Arabidopsis thaliana: one gene and its partner. The protein of the gene in region 1 purifies or fractionates together with the protein of each later gene. This does not show direct contact. Each region holds a gene or a part of one and is shown in the gene's direction. Other genes may lie near its edges.

What was found.
Region 2: the proteins of VDAC2 (region 1) and GAMMA CAL2 fractionate together in Arabidopsis thaliana (co-fractionation; one large-scale study listed by BioGRID). This does not show direct contact.

Annotation. Positions count from the first base shown.
Region 1 is NC_003076.8:26,929,647-26,938,150, forward strand, and holds VDAC2 (voltage dependent anion channel 2), read left to right. Parts: upstream 1-5,513; 5' UTR 5,514-5,576; coding exon 5,577-5,625; intron 5,626-5,854; coding exon 5,855-5,922; intron 5,923-6,150; coding exon of another isoform or gene 6,151-6,231; intron 6,232-6,501; coding exon 6,502-6,612; intron 6,613-6,699; coding exon 6,700-6,786; intron 6,787-6,877; coding exon 6,878-7,086; intron 7,087-7,170; coding exon 7,171-7,446; coding exon of another isoform or gene 7,447-7,477; exon of another isoform or gene 7,478-7,837; intron 7,838-7,886; coding exon 7,887-8,004; downstream 8,005-8,504. Other genes in the region: FH6 (formin homolog 6), read left to right, coding at 1-566; BT4 (BTB and TAZ domain protein 4), read right to left, coding at 1,409-1,852, 1,928-2,234, 2,343-2,473, 2,614-2,883; AT5G67490 (succinate dehydrogenase assembly factor), read right to left, coding at 4,722-5,048; AT5G67510 (Translation protein SH3-like family protein), read right to left, coding at 8,324-8,504. UniProt on the Arabidopsis thaliana protein: Forms a channel through the mitochondrial outer membrane that allows diffusion of small hydrophilic molecules. The channel adopts an open conformation at low or zero membrane potential and a closed conformation at potentials above 30-40 mV.
Region 2 is NC_003074.8:18,031,290-18,037,541, forward strand, and holds GAMMA CAL2 (gamma carbonic anhydrase-like 2), read left to right. Parts: upstream 1-3,645; 5' UTR 3,646-3,817; coding exon 3,818-4,211; intron 4,212-5,107; coding exon 5,108-5,484; 3' UTR 5,485-5,752; downstream 5,753-6,252. Other genes in the region: IDN2 (XH/XS domain-containing protein), read left to right, coding at 1-347, 433-1,154, 1,229-1,318, 1,396-1,683, 1,791-2,000, 2,090-2,326; AT3G48675 (egg cell-secreted-like protein (DUF1278)), read left to right, coding at 2,903-3,262; CXE12 (alpha/beta-Hydrolases superfamily protein), read right to left, coding at 5,897-6,252.

The DNA of each region.
Region 1 (8,504 bases):
AAGATGAAACCATCCTCCATGGAAACAATGACGGTTTCAGAAAGCAAGGATTACAAGTAGTTGCTGGACTCAGTAGAGATCTGGTTAATGTGAAAAAATCAGCCGGAATGGATTTCGATGTACTGAGCAGTTACGTGACAAAGCTCGAAATGGGTCTTGATAAACTCCGATCATTTCTCAAGACAGAGACAACTCAAGGGAGGTTCTTTGATTCGATGAAAACGTTTCTCAAAGAAGCAGAGGAAGAGATCCGAAAGATTAAAGGAGGAGAAAGAAAAGCTTTGTCAATGGTGAAAGAAGTAACAGAGTATTTCCACGGAAACGCTGCGAGAGAAGAAGCACATCCTTTAAGAATCTTCATGGTGGTGAGAGATTTTCTCGGAGTTCTCGATAACGTTTGTAAAGAAGTGAAGACGATGCAAGAAATGTCGACATCGATGGGTTCAGCTTCAGCTAGATCGTTCAGGATTTCAGCAACAGCTTCGTTACCGGTTCTTCATAGGTATAAAGCAAGACAAGACGACACAAGCTCGGATAGTGAACACAGCAGCAACTCTTCTACGTGATGAAAAAACAAAAAGCTGTACAGTTTCTTACACCAAGACACGAAGAATTAAATTGGTGTTTCTCAAGCCGGAGGAGATATCAGACATTGAGTTGGTTTAGTCGGAGAACACGGCCGTTTATAGAGTAACAAACACTATTAAAGTCTATAAATGATCAAATTTTCGTAACAAATAAGGAACCTTTTTTTTCTTAGTTTTTTATTTGTCAGCAATTTAAATATAGATAGATATATATATGAAAATTTCGTAATTTCTTGATTTTGGTTAAGTTTTGTGTTTCTTTGTTGTTGAAGGAATCAGAACCCAATACGAAAGTGATTAGAAAAAGGGATTTTGAAAGGAGAAGAAAATATATACTACACATGATACGATCATTGTTGAGGATTTGGTTTTGTGACAATGAATGTTTCCAACATTACTAATTTAATGAAATAGAAACATGTGATGTGAGTGAGGCCGATTTTGTGTACACTTGTACCACGTCCTCTCAGCTCTTACTGCTTTTGTCTTGTTCTACGTCACTTTTTCCCACCACGATCTTTTCGTTTCCTTTTTTCCATATTTGGATTTATTAAAAATAACAAAGCAAGTTGGGTCCTATAAAATTTGGTAGATTCTTCTTCTTCTGTTCATTTCACAACAAGATGACTCACTGAGCTTATTACCAATTTTGCCACTTAATCACTAAACCGATCCGTAGACCGGATTTGATATTCCAGAGACTCTCTTGGCCGACCAAAATATGTGTCATTTATTCAAACTCATTATGTTACACTTGTTTTAAAGATAGGATCACAAGAAACGCTTAAAACTCGCCCTTCTTGAGATTGACAAAATGTTTTTTAACAGTTTGTCACCGGTAAAAAGAAAGGAGAGCCTCCGATTTTCTTACTCCCCAATACATTCTTCACCAGAAGTTTCCATCTCGACTCATCTTTCTTGCTCTGTTTCTCCATCTTCTCCTTAAGGTTTCTGCATAGAGGGACTCGACATTGATCAGAACCTGCGCAAACACGTGAATGCAGTTCAAGGAGTTGCCACATTCTCTTGCAATGCACGCAACCTCCTGGAACTCTTAGCTTACAGCCTGCGAAATGCCGGATCAGTGATTCTAATCCCTTGCAAGCTTCATAGTTACACGTTGCATGGTTCGGTTTGAAATCTTTATCGTGTGGCCCTATTGTTTTACATCCATCTCTGCATATATGAACAAGTGCTTCCATTGCTTCGTATAGCTGCGAATATATCCTCTGATCATTGCGTTTTCTCATCCTCTCTTTCCGCGTCTGCGTTTATGTTCAAGATTTAGAATTTAGGAGAAAATACAGGGAAAAAAGGAAGTTTATTAAATCACTACTTACATTTGCTTCGATGATTACTGAGTCTCTAACTTCTTTCTCAAGAAAGGGATGGCTTTTCTTCATAGCTGTCCATGCTTCTGTCGCAGAGAGTTCGTTAAAGTGTTTCATGATCATACGGTGAGATATGAGGCTAAGCCGAGGGAAATCACACAGCAGCGCAAGCTGGAACACATCAACCACATTCTCAGTGGTAAGCAAACCATGTTCTAGATGCCATTCACAGACCCGTTTCAGCTGAGGAACCACGTACGCGTGTGACAGAAGTAGCAAATGCATGATAAACTCGTTCATTTCTTCTTTCTCATAGCTACACAAAGGAAATCAGATTTCGTCAGTGAAAAGATCATAAGACGAATGTTAAAAGAGGCAGAGCAAATAAATATAGAGAGCAAGAAGAAATGGAATTTATATATACCAAGAAGAGTAGAGGAAACGGATAAAAACTCGCACAGCATCATGAGGGACACCTCGGATTGATATTGTATGCCACTTGCCATGTCTCTTGGCTTGCTTCAACATGCCTTTGATCACAGTGGAAGCAGTTCCCTATTAATTCAAGAAAGACAATGTCCATATCAACCAAGTCTAGACCTTTCTAATCAACTGCTAAAGTCTGTATTCGCTTAGCTAAAGATCCTAACTACACATTGATAATTATGGTCAAAGGAGTTATAAGGAGAGCTTACAAGGATGTTGGCATGAGCATAGATGATACTGCCATTATCTGTATAGATGACTACATCAGCTTTGTATCCGTCATTGAAAAGACGATCCCACATATCTCTTGTGGCTGTCGAAACGCTGCTATGCCCAAGTTTTTTCTTGAGTCCATCAGATTTTGATGGAAGAGGAGGAGGAATTGGCACAGAAGATGAATCTGCAGATTTGAAAGATTGATGAAGATCAACACAACCTGTCACCATTCTCTTGTTTAGCTTATCTTCTCTTCCCTGCATCAATCAAATGAAAATATATATTGTCGATTCTTTAGCCACAGATAAACTTCATTGTCATTTCTACACGAAATATGTGACTCAGACAACAATTTTCACAGCATTATGTAACCAGATCTCATTTACGATTACAAATCGAATAGGATAAGAACAAATCTCTACATATATATTCACACGAAAATATCAATCAGAAATAACAAGAATTCTTGAAACAGATCGATAGAAAATGTAAGAACAAGAATCAATCAATGCTCTAATTTGTTCCGACATATATACCTTGAAAAGATTCAGACCACAGAATCAGGTTGCTTCGAAGAGGCAAGTCAAACAAAATTAACGAGAAAATCTTCTCCTTGGTAGAAAGAGCATGAGAAGAAACTCTCTCTATAGAGAAGCTTGAGAGATCAGAGATCTCTTACCATTATATAAACACACACACTCACAAAAACAATAGAAGACGACAAAAAAAATCCCACCGAAAGGATAATTTATTGTTTTAATTTCCTTATTATCTCACTTTTTTCTTACTTTTGTGTTCAATAATTTGAAGATATTTTCTTGGTTCATATCATCAACAGAGACACCCACCTGCGAAAATTACCCGAGAGGCGCGTGGAGTCTACGGTTACGAAACGGACGGCTGAGAATCCACGCGCCTTAACGGCCTTTTTTCCTCGTTCTTGAAAAAGCTTTCGTCAAGTTGGTTTTATTATCGGCTTTATCAATTGAAACACGACTCTGCATGTTTTTTTTTTATAAATGATTTAATTTAAGAGCCGTACAAAAACAGATCAGTGTGTCCTTTGTTTTTTTTGTTCTTGTTCGGCGTTACACAGCTCATAATTAGCTGTTCGTTTTTTCAAACTTTTATCCGTATTATTATCCTTTCTTCTTCAAAGATAAATTTAGATTAGTCTTAATTTTAACCACATGATCAGATACTCTCTTCAAAAATGTTAACTAATCGTGAATTATGTTGAGGTCCGCAAAATTGCGTCATAAATATTTTACTGGTCTCTCTTCATATTTCTTAGCTTCGCTTGAATTGATTGTTACCCTTTTTTCCCTTTTTTTCTGTGTTTACTATAATGCCACGTTTCTTCTATCGAATAATCTAAAACAGAAGAAGAAGAAGTCAAAATGCTTTTTATATGATCATTTTCTTGTATTTTTTTTTAGTTTTTGATCGGAGTAAAGTTATAAGAACTTCAAAAAAAAAAAAAAAAAAAAAATGCATGATGATGCCAATCTTTTTCTAACTTTTAAAGAGTATTGGAACATAATACATATATCATGTAAACTGATATTTTTAATTGTAATTTTATATCATATACGGATTTAATTGTAATTTGAGCATCACCCAGTTGTGCAATTGTAGTTATCACAGAAGTGCACATTGCAATGTTGTTGAACAACAGAAATACCTTGACATCATCTCACTGACCCATGCAGCCATGCCTAAACTTGGACCAGAACTCATGTAACCACCGGGTAATGTCAAACCTGAACTCTGAACTCTCAGGTTAGTTAAACTCATCTCTTGTTGTTTCCTTAATTCTAAATCATCACTAAACCTGTATTAAAGTGTCCCAAATTTTTTAGATAGAGATGTATAGATGCACATTTAACCCACCTGAGGAAGAACTTATTAACTATTACTGGAATAACAAGATCACCAGAGAATGATGATCCAAATAAAGGCAACGAATTTGAAGTTCTACTACATTTTCTTCCATTTTCTCCATTATTTTGCAAATACATAAACACATAAAACGAATTTATTTCCATTTTTCCCAGAAATATATAAGAACAAGCTAAAACACAGGGATACATGAATCCTCTCAGAAATCAGAGCATCGACCACGTTGTTCCCAATCGCCGTACCGAGTCGGTTCAGGACCTCTAGGCCCTCCAATCTCACCAGTATCTTCGTTCACAAACTCTCCACCTCCACCACCTTCTCCTTCCTCTTCTTCTTCCTTCTGCATCTGCAGATTCTGTTGAAGATTCTGATCTGGCTTCACGTCCCGGTTCAGATCCTGATTCGGAGATGGAGCTTGCGGCGGAGGAGGTGTACCGGAGCTTAGAAACCGTGACACTGGCTCGAGGAATCTAGAGGAGACGGATCGGCTTGGAGCGATCAAACGTACGATGTTGTTCGTCGCCATTGTTAGATCAGATGTGTCGGCCAAATCAAGAAAGAGATCCGACCTTCACGGTTTGTGATAGTATAGGGTTCGATAGTCATTTAGGTTGGGCCATAATTGGATAATAAGCCCAGTAGTATCTAGGCCCAATCATTTACATGTTTATAAATAAATTAAGAGAATTAGAGAGTAAATTTGGCCCAGTATAATTATGTTTAACAAGCCCATCAGGAGCTAGGCCTAACATGTTTATAAAACAAATAGGAGAGAATTAGAGGGTAAAGTTGACGTGGGCTGATTTCGAACCCGTAACCTTTTTATATATTAGACCTCATTACCAAAAAGCGATTCGATTATCTCATAAAGCGTCATGTGTTTTTTTGTGCCACATCAACGGCTGTGAGTGGTTAGTCACTAAAGAAAAGTCACAGGCTGTTATATAGTATTGGCTTCGCTATTTATTTTCGTCTACCACGAGAAAAACAAGTCGTAATTCTTCTATCTTGATATCTTCACCGCCTGCCGATCTCTCTCAATCTCCGATCAACCATGAGCAAAGGTCCAGGACTCTTCACCGATATCGGCAAGAAAGCCAAAGGTATAATTATCATCGTATCGCTCTTCTTCTATATTCCTTCTCTCATCGTTAAGATTCCGGTTGAAATCGCGCAATTAGTGCGTGCGTTTATGCCTGTTCATTGATTCGAAGTTCTGGTGTTTCGAATTTGTTTATCCTGTAGATTGAAATGATTTTTAGATTTTGATTATATTTTGGGTGATCCTATCGAGTTTAAGCTGTTTCTGTTTTGATTTTTCCTTCTTTGTAGATCTGTTGACGAGAGACTACAATTCCGATCAGAAGTTCAGTATCTCCACTTACAGTGCCTCCGGCGTGGTATGTTTATTATATCGATGCAAACTCTGTACTATTTTCAGACTCTTGTTCGATTTCGGTTTTAATGCGTGGTTAAATTTGTGGAGTATCGTTTTGATATTCGTTTTCAACCATTGTGTTTTCCGTTTTTATTTAGCTGCGATTAGACCTTTAAGAGTATATGTTCTTGGTCTGATCGATCTCCATGTTGAAATCGATTTCTTAAGTTCTGTGTTGGTAATTGTCAAGGGAACTGAGAGAGAGAACGAGTATCAGGATGATATTTACTTCTGTTTAAGAACTAGATGTTTGATAATGAGTGAAAATGAGGTCAACGTTTGTATAGATTTCACTTTGGTTACAAAAATATGCCATAAGAACTCCACTATATGATTCATTTTACAATTTCTTCTTTAGGTGCGCTGCTTATAGTAAAATTATTAAGTTATTGTTTGTGACAGTTTCAATTAGCTAATTGCACTTTTGTATTTAGAAACCTAATGATTGTCTGCATATGATCTAGCAGTCTAACTCCATGGTTAATTATACGAATGGAGAGCCTTAATTTTTTTTATTTTTGGTCTGTGTTCTGTTGTTTAGGCCCTTACGTCTACTGCTCTGAAGAAAGGAGGAGTTCATGCTGCTGATGTTGCCACCCAATACAAGTACAAGAATGCTTTGTTTGATGTTAAAATCGACACTGATTCTAGTGTAAGCGTTGTTGTAGAGATCTATTATACACTTTATCATCTAAAACCAGATTAATCTGTTAAGCGTGTTTGTATTTTTTCCTTACAGGTTTTGACAACAGTCACACTTACCGAGATCCTCCCATCAACAAAAGCCATTGCCTCCTTCAAAGTCCCTGATTATAATTCCGCCAAGGTTTATATTCCTTTTTAATGAAATCACAGATGTTTACTTCTCAGTGGTTTGAATGAAAATTAATCCTTCAGCTTTTGAATTTCATTAACAGCTCGAGGTGCAATACTTCCACGACCACGCAACAGTTACCGCTGCTGCAGCTTTGAAACAAAACCCACTAATTGACATAACAGCTACTCTTGGTTCGCCAGTCATCTCATTTGGTGCTGAAGCTGGATATGACACAACCTCCAAAACTTTCACCAAGTACAATGCCGGGATCAGTGTGACAAAACCAGATGCTTGCCTCTCCATAATATTGTAAGAATACAAATTTCAAAATAAAGCAATCACTAGCTCTAGATGTGGCTTGTGTGGGTCTCATCTGAGTTTTTTTTGTTCCAGGGGAGACAAAGGAGACTCACTCAAAGCATCATACCTTCATCACTTTGATGAATTTAAGAGAACCGCAGCAGTTGGTGAGGTTTACAGGAAGTTCTCGACAAATGAAAACACGATAACGGTTGGTGGATTGTATGCGATTGATCATTCGACTGCAGTGAAAGCTAAGCTCAACAACCATGGCACACTTGGTGCTCTTCTGCAGCACGAGGTCCTGCCCAGATCACTAGTGACTGTTTCCAGTGAGATTGACACTAAGGCTTTAGAAAAGCATCCAAGGTTTGGTCTCTCTCTTGCTCTCAAACCTTGAGAACACACACTCACATCAGACCTGCTTGAGTCTTCCTACTTTTCTCGTATGCTCTCATTGTTGATTTCCTCTACGGCAGGACGTGAGAGTTAGCGTTTTTTTCCTCCTTTTTTCCTTACGTTTAATTGGAATCAATAAATAGTTCCGCAGTGAAATTGACGGATAATTCTTTTTTTGGATATGCTCGGTTTTGGTTTTTTTTTTATCTTTCTTTTATAATTAAGCACTCTTCTTGAATATACACTCAGTGATTTTTTTCTTTTCTTTTAGTACAATCCAGTTAAAAAAACAAAAAAACATATAAACAAGTTGATATGATGTAAATCTCTTAGACATTAGCAAATCTTAGATAAACAAGTTAATGGTTCCTTCTTCCGCCGTGAGACTGATAGTGGGTTTCATAATTTAGGAACAATGATAGGAGGATACAAATAAAAACCGTTTCTACAACGAGCCAGTTTGGTTTAGTTGATCAGCTGCTTGTCATCGAGGTACATTCGCAAAGGAGATTCTCCCAATATTGTTGAGCCTAACTTCAAATGTTACCATTTTTTCTACGATTGGTGTAGAGATCATGTAGAGCTTTACAATTCACAACTTGCAATTACCAGTCTATATGTCCGACACCAAGAAGAATTAACGTATACAACGATTGATTGAAATGAATGATGAATTATCAATAAGGATTTAAATCTCAGTCCAATTTCAATAGCTAGAAATATAAGCATAAATGAGGTACATTGATAAGAAAACCACAAAATTCAACTTCGAATTCTGAATCATATCATCATCAATGAAATCAAAATAGAAAACTAGAAAAGAAGAAGAAAAAACCATACGTTAAGATCAATCTACGTTCTCCATGACATCTTCGGCTGAAAACTTGGTTCCCTTCTCCTTATCGGCGGCGGCGCGTCCATTAGCCTTACGCTCCAAAAGCGACTTCCTATCCTTATCGAGACGGAGCTTAGTGATCATCACATTCGAAGCATTGACTCCGACGTTGACCGTGGATCCGTTGACTTTC
Region 2 (6,252 bases), on another chromosome or scaffold:
TGAATCTGAAATGGATGAGTATGGAGACAAAATGTACCTAAACCTTAAAGGTGGGAAGCTGAAAGTGAGACTCTCTCCTCAAGCTTTTATCTGTCCTTATTGTCCAAACAAGAAGAAAACTAGTTTTCAATACAAAGATCTTCTTCAACATGCTTCTGGAGTTGGTAATAGCAATTCTGATAAAAGAAGTGCAAAGGAGAAAGCAAGTCACCTTGCTCTTGTCAAATACCTTCAACAAGATCTTGCTGATTCAGCTTCAGAAGCAGAGCCTTCATCAAAGCGTCAGAAAAACGGAAACCCTATTCAAGATTGTGATCATGACGAGAAGCTTGTGTATCCTTGGAAAGGTACACACTTTAAAGGTTCTTACTTTTCTCCTTAAGATTGTACTGCAATGTGTGTTTAGTGTTTGTGTATATGTGGTTGAAACAGGTATTGTGGTGAATATTCCAACTACAAAGGCACAAGATGGTCGATCTGCGGGCGAGAGTGGATCGAAGCTAAGGGATGAGTATATTCTAAGAGGATTTAACCCGACTAGAGTTCGTCCTTTATGGAACTACTTGGGACATTCAGGAACAGCTATTGTGGAGTTTAACAAAGATTGGAATGGACTTCACAATGGTCTTTTGTTTGACAAGGCTTATACAGTAGATGGTCATGGGAAGAAGGACTGGTTGAAGAAAGACGGTCCCAAGTTAGGTCTTTACGGTTGGATTGCTCGTGCTGATGATTATAACGGTAATAATATTATTGGAGAAAACTTGAGGAAGACGGGTGATCTGAAAACTATAGCTGAGCTTACGGAAGAAGAGGCGAGGAAACAGGAATTGCTTGTGCAGAACCTGAGACAACTTGTAGAAGAGAAGAAAAAAGACATGAAGGAGATTGAGGAGCTTTGTTCAGTTAAGTCAGAGGAACTTAATCAGTTGATGGAAGAGAAGGAGAAGAATCAGCAAAAGCATTACCGTGAGCTGAATGCTATACAAGAAAGAACAATGAGTCACATTCAAAAGATAGTTGATGATCATGAGAAATTGAAGAGGCTGTTGGAGTCAGAGAGGAAGAAACTCGAAATCAAATGTAATGAGTTGGCAAAGCGCGAAGTGCACAATGGAACCGAGAGAATGAAATTGTCTGAAGATCTTGAACAGGTATCCATTTACTCTCTGTATCTCTCTTTTCAAGATATATGTTCAAGAAATAATTGGTTTTTTTCTCTTATCAGAATGCATCTAAGAATAGCTCTCTTGAACTAGCTGCCATGGAACAACAAAAGGCAGACGAGGAAGTTAAAAAACTTGCTGAAGACCAAAGGGTTAGTGACTTTCTTCTTCTTTGTAAAAATGGTTGGGCTTATTTTCGTGATTACTGAGAAAATTCTGTACCTAACAGAGGCAAAAGGAGGAGCTTCATGAGAAAATCATAAGACTAGAAAGACAGAGAGATCAGAAACAAGCGATTGAGCTAGAAGTTGAGCAGTTGAAAGGACAGCTCAATGTGATGAAGCACATGGCATCAGATGGCGATGCTGAAGTTGTGAAAGAGGTGGACATCATCTTCAAAGATTTAGGTGAGAAGGAAGCACAACTCGCAGATCTCGATAAATTTAACCAAACTCTTATCCTTAGAGAGCGCAGGACCAACGATGAGCTTCAAGAAGCTCATAAAGAATTGGTAAACGTATGTATCATTCAAAGTGTTGTTCTTTTCAATCACATCGAAAAGCTATGAGAAAGCTTGACATTTTACTAAAATCTTGGTTTTGTTTGTTTCATGTGCCTTCATAGATTATGAAAGAATGGAACACAAATATCGGTGTTAAGAGAATGGGAGAGCTCGTGACGAAACCATTCGTGGATGCAATGCAGCAGAAGTATTGTCAGCAAGATGTGGAGGACCGAGCAGTTGAAGTTCTCCAACTTTGGGAACACTATCTCAAAGATTCAGATTGGCATCCATTCAAGCGGGTCAAGCTCGAAAATGAAGATAGAGAAGTGGTAAGACCGCCTTCTTGACTCTGTTTGTTATGTTGAATCTCTCTGAAAGATTAAAAAGCTTTTTTGGTGTTGTTGTTAATTGTGTTTAGGAAGTGATAGATGATAGAGACGAAAAGCTGAGGGAGCTAAAGGCAGATTTGGGAGATGGTCCTTACAATGCGGTCACGAAAGCTTTGTTGGAGATAAACGAGTATAACCCGAGTGGAAGGTATATTACAACAGAGCTATGGAACTTCAAAGCAGATAAGAAGGCTACACTTGAAGAAGGTGTCACTTGTTTACTTGATCAATGGGAAAAGGCGAAACGCAAGCGTGGAATGGCTTAGAGGTTTAACCATTTTTGATAACCGAACAAAAATATGTTTTCATTTGCAATTGTTATTTGCTAATATAGGATTTCGATTGATGGTTTGCAGCTGCAAGATGATGGACATGGGACTGAATAAAAAGCCGATGCGGTTTTTAGTTGCAGAGAAATGTGTTTGGTTTGACCAAACTTTGGTGGATTCTGTTTGTTTTTCTTCTCAGAACTTAGTGAATAATTGACACAACTTTGATGTCTTGCATCGGTTCTTTTCATTGTAACATTTGTAGGAGTTTGGCCGCTTTGGACAATAAGAAATAAAAATATCATTGTAATATAATTCACATGTAAAACAACTAGATTTGGCCTCTCTTCTGTCTCATATCTTAAGCATGTCATTTAGAACCTTTTATTGTAAAAACAAACTTTGTCATGAGTTACTTTTTGTAGTCAAATTTGATATTGACCCCTTCCTTATTATGCTAACACTGTTTTCATCTTATAACCCTATAAATCTAAGTTTCGTGAATATAGCCAAAATCATCTACATCATTGCAAAGAACCTTAAAGGAGAAAGAAGAAAACCGGCTTGAGAGAGATGGAAAACAACTCAGGAGCTATTCTCTTTGTGATCTTAGCTATGACCATTGTTCTTCAAGTGAGGCCAGGGTTCTCTCAAGCACTCCCTACGATCCCCGGACTTTTCCCACCGGGTCTTCCTATTGATATCATAAAATGTTGGTCATCTCTCTTTAACGTCCAAGGATGTGTACAAGAAATCTACAAATCGATATTTTCTGGTCAGTTTGCTAGCATTGAAGCCCCATGTTGTAAAACGTTTTCAGCTATAGATACAAACTGTTGGCCACATATGTTTCCATTGAACCCATTCTTCCCTCCTATTCTCAAGAACAACTGCGAGCGTATTGCTACGACTCCATCATCAACACACAAGTGAAGGCTACACACAAATGTTGCGAGCCAGTTGTTAGCTTCGAGGTTTAAGAAGTTCTTTTATCGATTTGAGAGATCACAATGCCCAATAATCCAAAATTCTCCTTGCAGTAATTTTTTTTTTTTTGTAATCTTTAGCTTAAAATAAACAAAGCTAAGCTTTTTGATGTACTCGTATGTGTTTGCCATGTAGTTTGTTAAAAGAGTGGTTATAACATAAACAAAATTTTGTTTGCGTTTATATATGAAAATATTGTTCTTACACTATGGAATAAAACATATTTCAGCATTTAAAATTTGTAAAAACGACGAACACGAACGCATATCAATACCATACCAAAAAGATTATATCGTACATGAAACTTGTTGCAGACAATGGCATGACTAATGGGCCTCTATTAACTTAGCCCATAAGGCCCAATAAAACTTTCCAAATAGTTTCATTTTTCAGATTTTGAAGAATCTCCCGACGACTCCTCTCTGTCTCCTCCTCCGGGAAGCTTTCTGTCTCTCTCTCTCTCTCTCTACACAAGACCTTGAAGAATCCGATTCCATAACAATGGCGACTTCGTTAGCACGAATCTCTAAAAGAAGCATAACATCGGCTGTTTCATCGAATCTGATTCGGCGTTACTTCGCCGCGGAAGCAGTAGCGGTGGCGACGACGGAAACACCTAAACCGAAATCGCAGGTGACGCCGTCGCCGGATCGGGTAAAATGGGACTACAGAGGCCAGAGACAGATAATTCCTCTGGGACAGTGGCTACCGAAGGTAGCTGTAGATGCTTACGTGGCACCTAACGTTGTGTTGGCTGGTCAGGTCACCGTCTGGGACGGCTCGTCTGTATGGAACGGTGCCGTTTTGAGAGGAGATCTTAATAAGATCACCGTTGGATTCTGCTCAAATGTCCAGGAACGGTGTGTTGTTCATGCTGCGTGGTCGTCGCCTACAGGTTCTTGTTCTTTGTCATTTTTTCGGAATTTGAGTCTCTGTATGGTTCCATTGTAGCTTCTAGTTTGAGTTCTGGATATCCAATTGCTGTAGTTACTGCTTGCTAGCTAATGGAATCATTGATATTGGAATTTAGGGTTTTCATTTTCATCTTCCATTTTGATTATGGAAAATGTAGAGTCTCACCTTTAAGGAGATTTTACACTTTTATCTGAAGTAGTGAAGTGTAAGTAAGCATATTTGTTTGGAGTGAAGATGTCCCCAGATCAAGAATCATGAATGATATTTGTTCAGTAAAGTTAATCTTCAGAGCATTTTGCGTTTAGCTAGACAAGGATGCATAGAATTGCGTAGTTCTTTAGGTGATTAGTGATATTGGAAGCAAGAAACCCATTGATGATATGTGCTTGATTTTAAAATTTAGGTAATTCAGGGGTTGAATAGATTAGCATGGTGGAGACCATCTTGTTTAGTTGTAGAAAGTTGCCTAGCAGCTCTGGAGAAGTTTCAGGAACTATGTCATAGTAAAGATTTTTAGTTATGCGGAGAGAATTTTGCAGAAAGTTGATATTATATTCAGTGGTTGGAACCGAGATTCTGAAGCTGCGTCAAGCTGAATGAACATAAGCGTCTTTTAGTCTTACCAAGGTGGATTCCGTGTCAAAGTCTTTAGTTCAACAGCCTCCTGGTTTGATTAAGCTGTAGTTTACAACTAGTACTTAATTACTTGATTCACCATTTTTTCGGGTTAATAGCTCTGTATTATCAACCAGTCTTCATGCTTTTTCTATACTAACATCTTGAAGGATAGAGCATACTGTGGTGCTGCTTTTGAATTTTGATATGATAGATAAAAATCTGATCTTAGAAGATACTTTCTACTTTGATTTTTTTCAGGATTACCAGCACAAACATTGATCGATAGGTACGTGACAGTTGGTGCATACAGTCTTTTAAGATCATGCACTATCGAACCAGAATGCATCATCGGGCAACACTCAATCCTAATGGAAGGTTCACTGGTCGAAACCCGCTCAATCCTAGAAGCTGGTTCTGTTTTACCACCTGGCAGAAGAATCCCATCTGGTGAACTATGGGGAGGCAATCCAGCAAGGTTTATTCGAACACTCACCAATGAAGAAACCTTAGAGATCCCGAAACTTGCTGTTGCCATTAACCACCTAAGTGGAGATTACTTCTCAGAGTTCTTGCCTTACTCAACTATCTATCTAGAGGTTGAGAAGTTCAAGAAATCCCTTGGAATCGCCATCTAGAAAGCTTCTTCCAGGTTTCTGGCTACTTCCCTCATTAAGAAAGCTTCTTCGTTTTCGGAATTTGATCTGAATAAGTAGCTGCGGAACAAGAAAAAGAGCAGAGCTGTGTTTCAAATGTTGTCTTCTCTGTTTGTTTTGTTTAAGTTCATATCCTTGTGTTCAAACTTTCTATGAAGATGATAATGGTGAAAACTGGAAAGTGTAAAACTTCTTTCGTCTCCCCTCACAATTGGAAAAGCTAATAATCTCGTAGTGTTATAGAATTAAACATCTCGTACTAAAATATTTTCATCTTCAATTTTTATTGTGTTGCTTTGGGCGAAAAGCCAATCACTGAAACATTACAGAAACTGAGAGACGCAACTAAAATATGTAGTACCAAATTATTCCAATATCTCTAGAGAGCACAAAGCTAGTTCCCTCCCTTAATAAACCCTGAGAATTTATGCATGACTTCAATAGCATTATCACATTCAGGTTTCAACAAATGAAAAACATGATCTTCTCCTTCACTCTCCACCACTTCAACCTCTCCTTTCCAACCAGACTTCTCAAGCTTAGCCGCGTAACCCCAACCCTGCCTCACCAACGCATCTTTCTCAGCCACCATTACCAAAACCTTACCACAACCCAACCCAGACAAATCCACCGACTCTGATTGCACCACGTTGAGCAACGGATCATCTGTTCCATCTTTGCTATTAGGACTTGCCATCATCCAAAACGCCTCTATCTTCATCCTCAACGTTTCATCTTTCGTATCCTTCT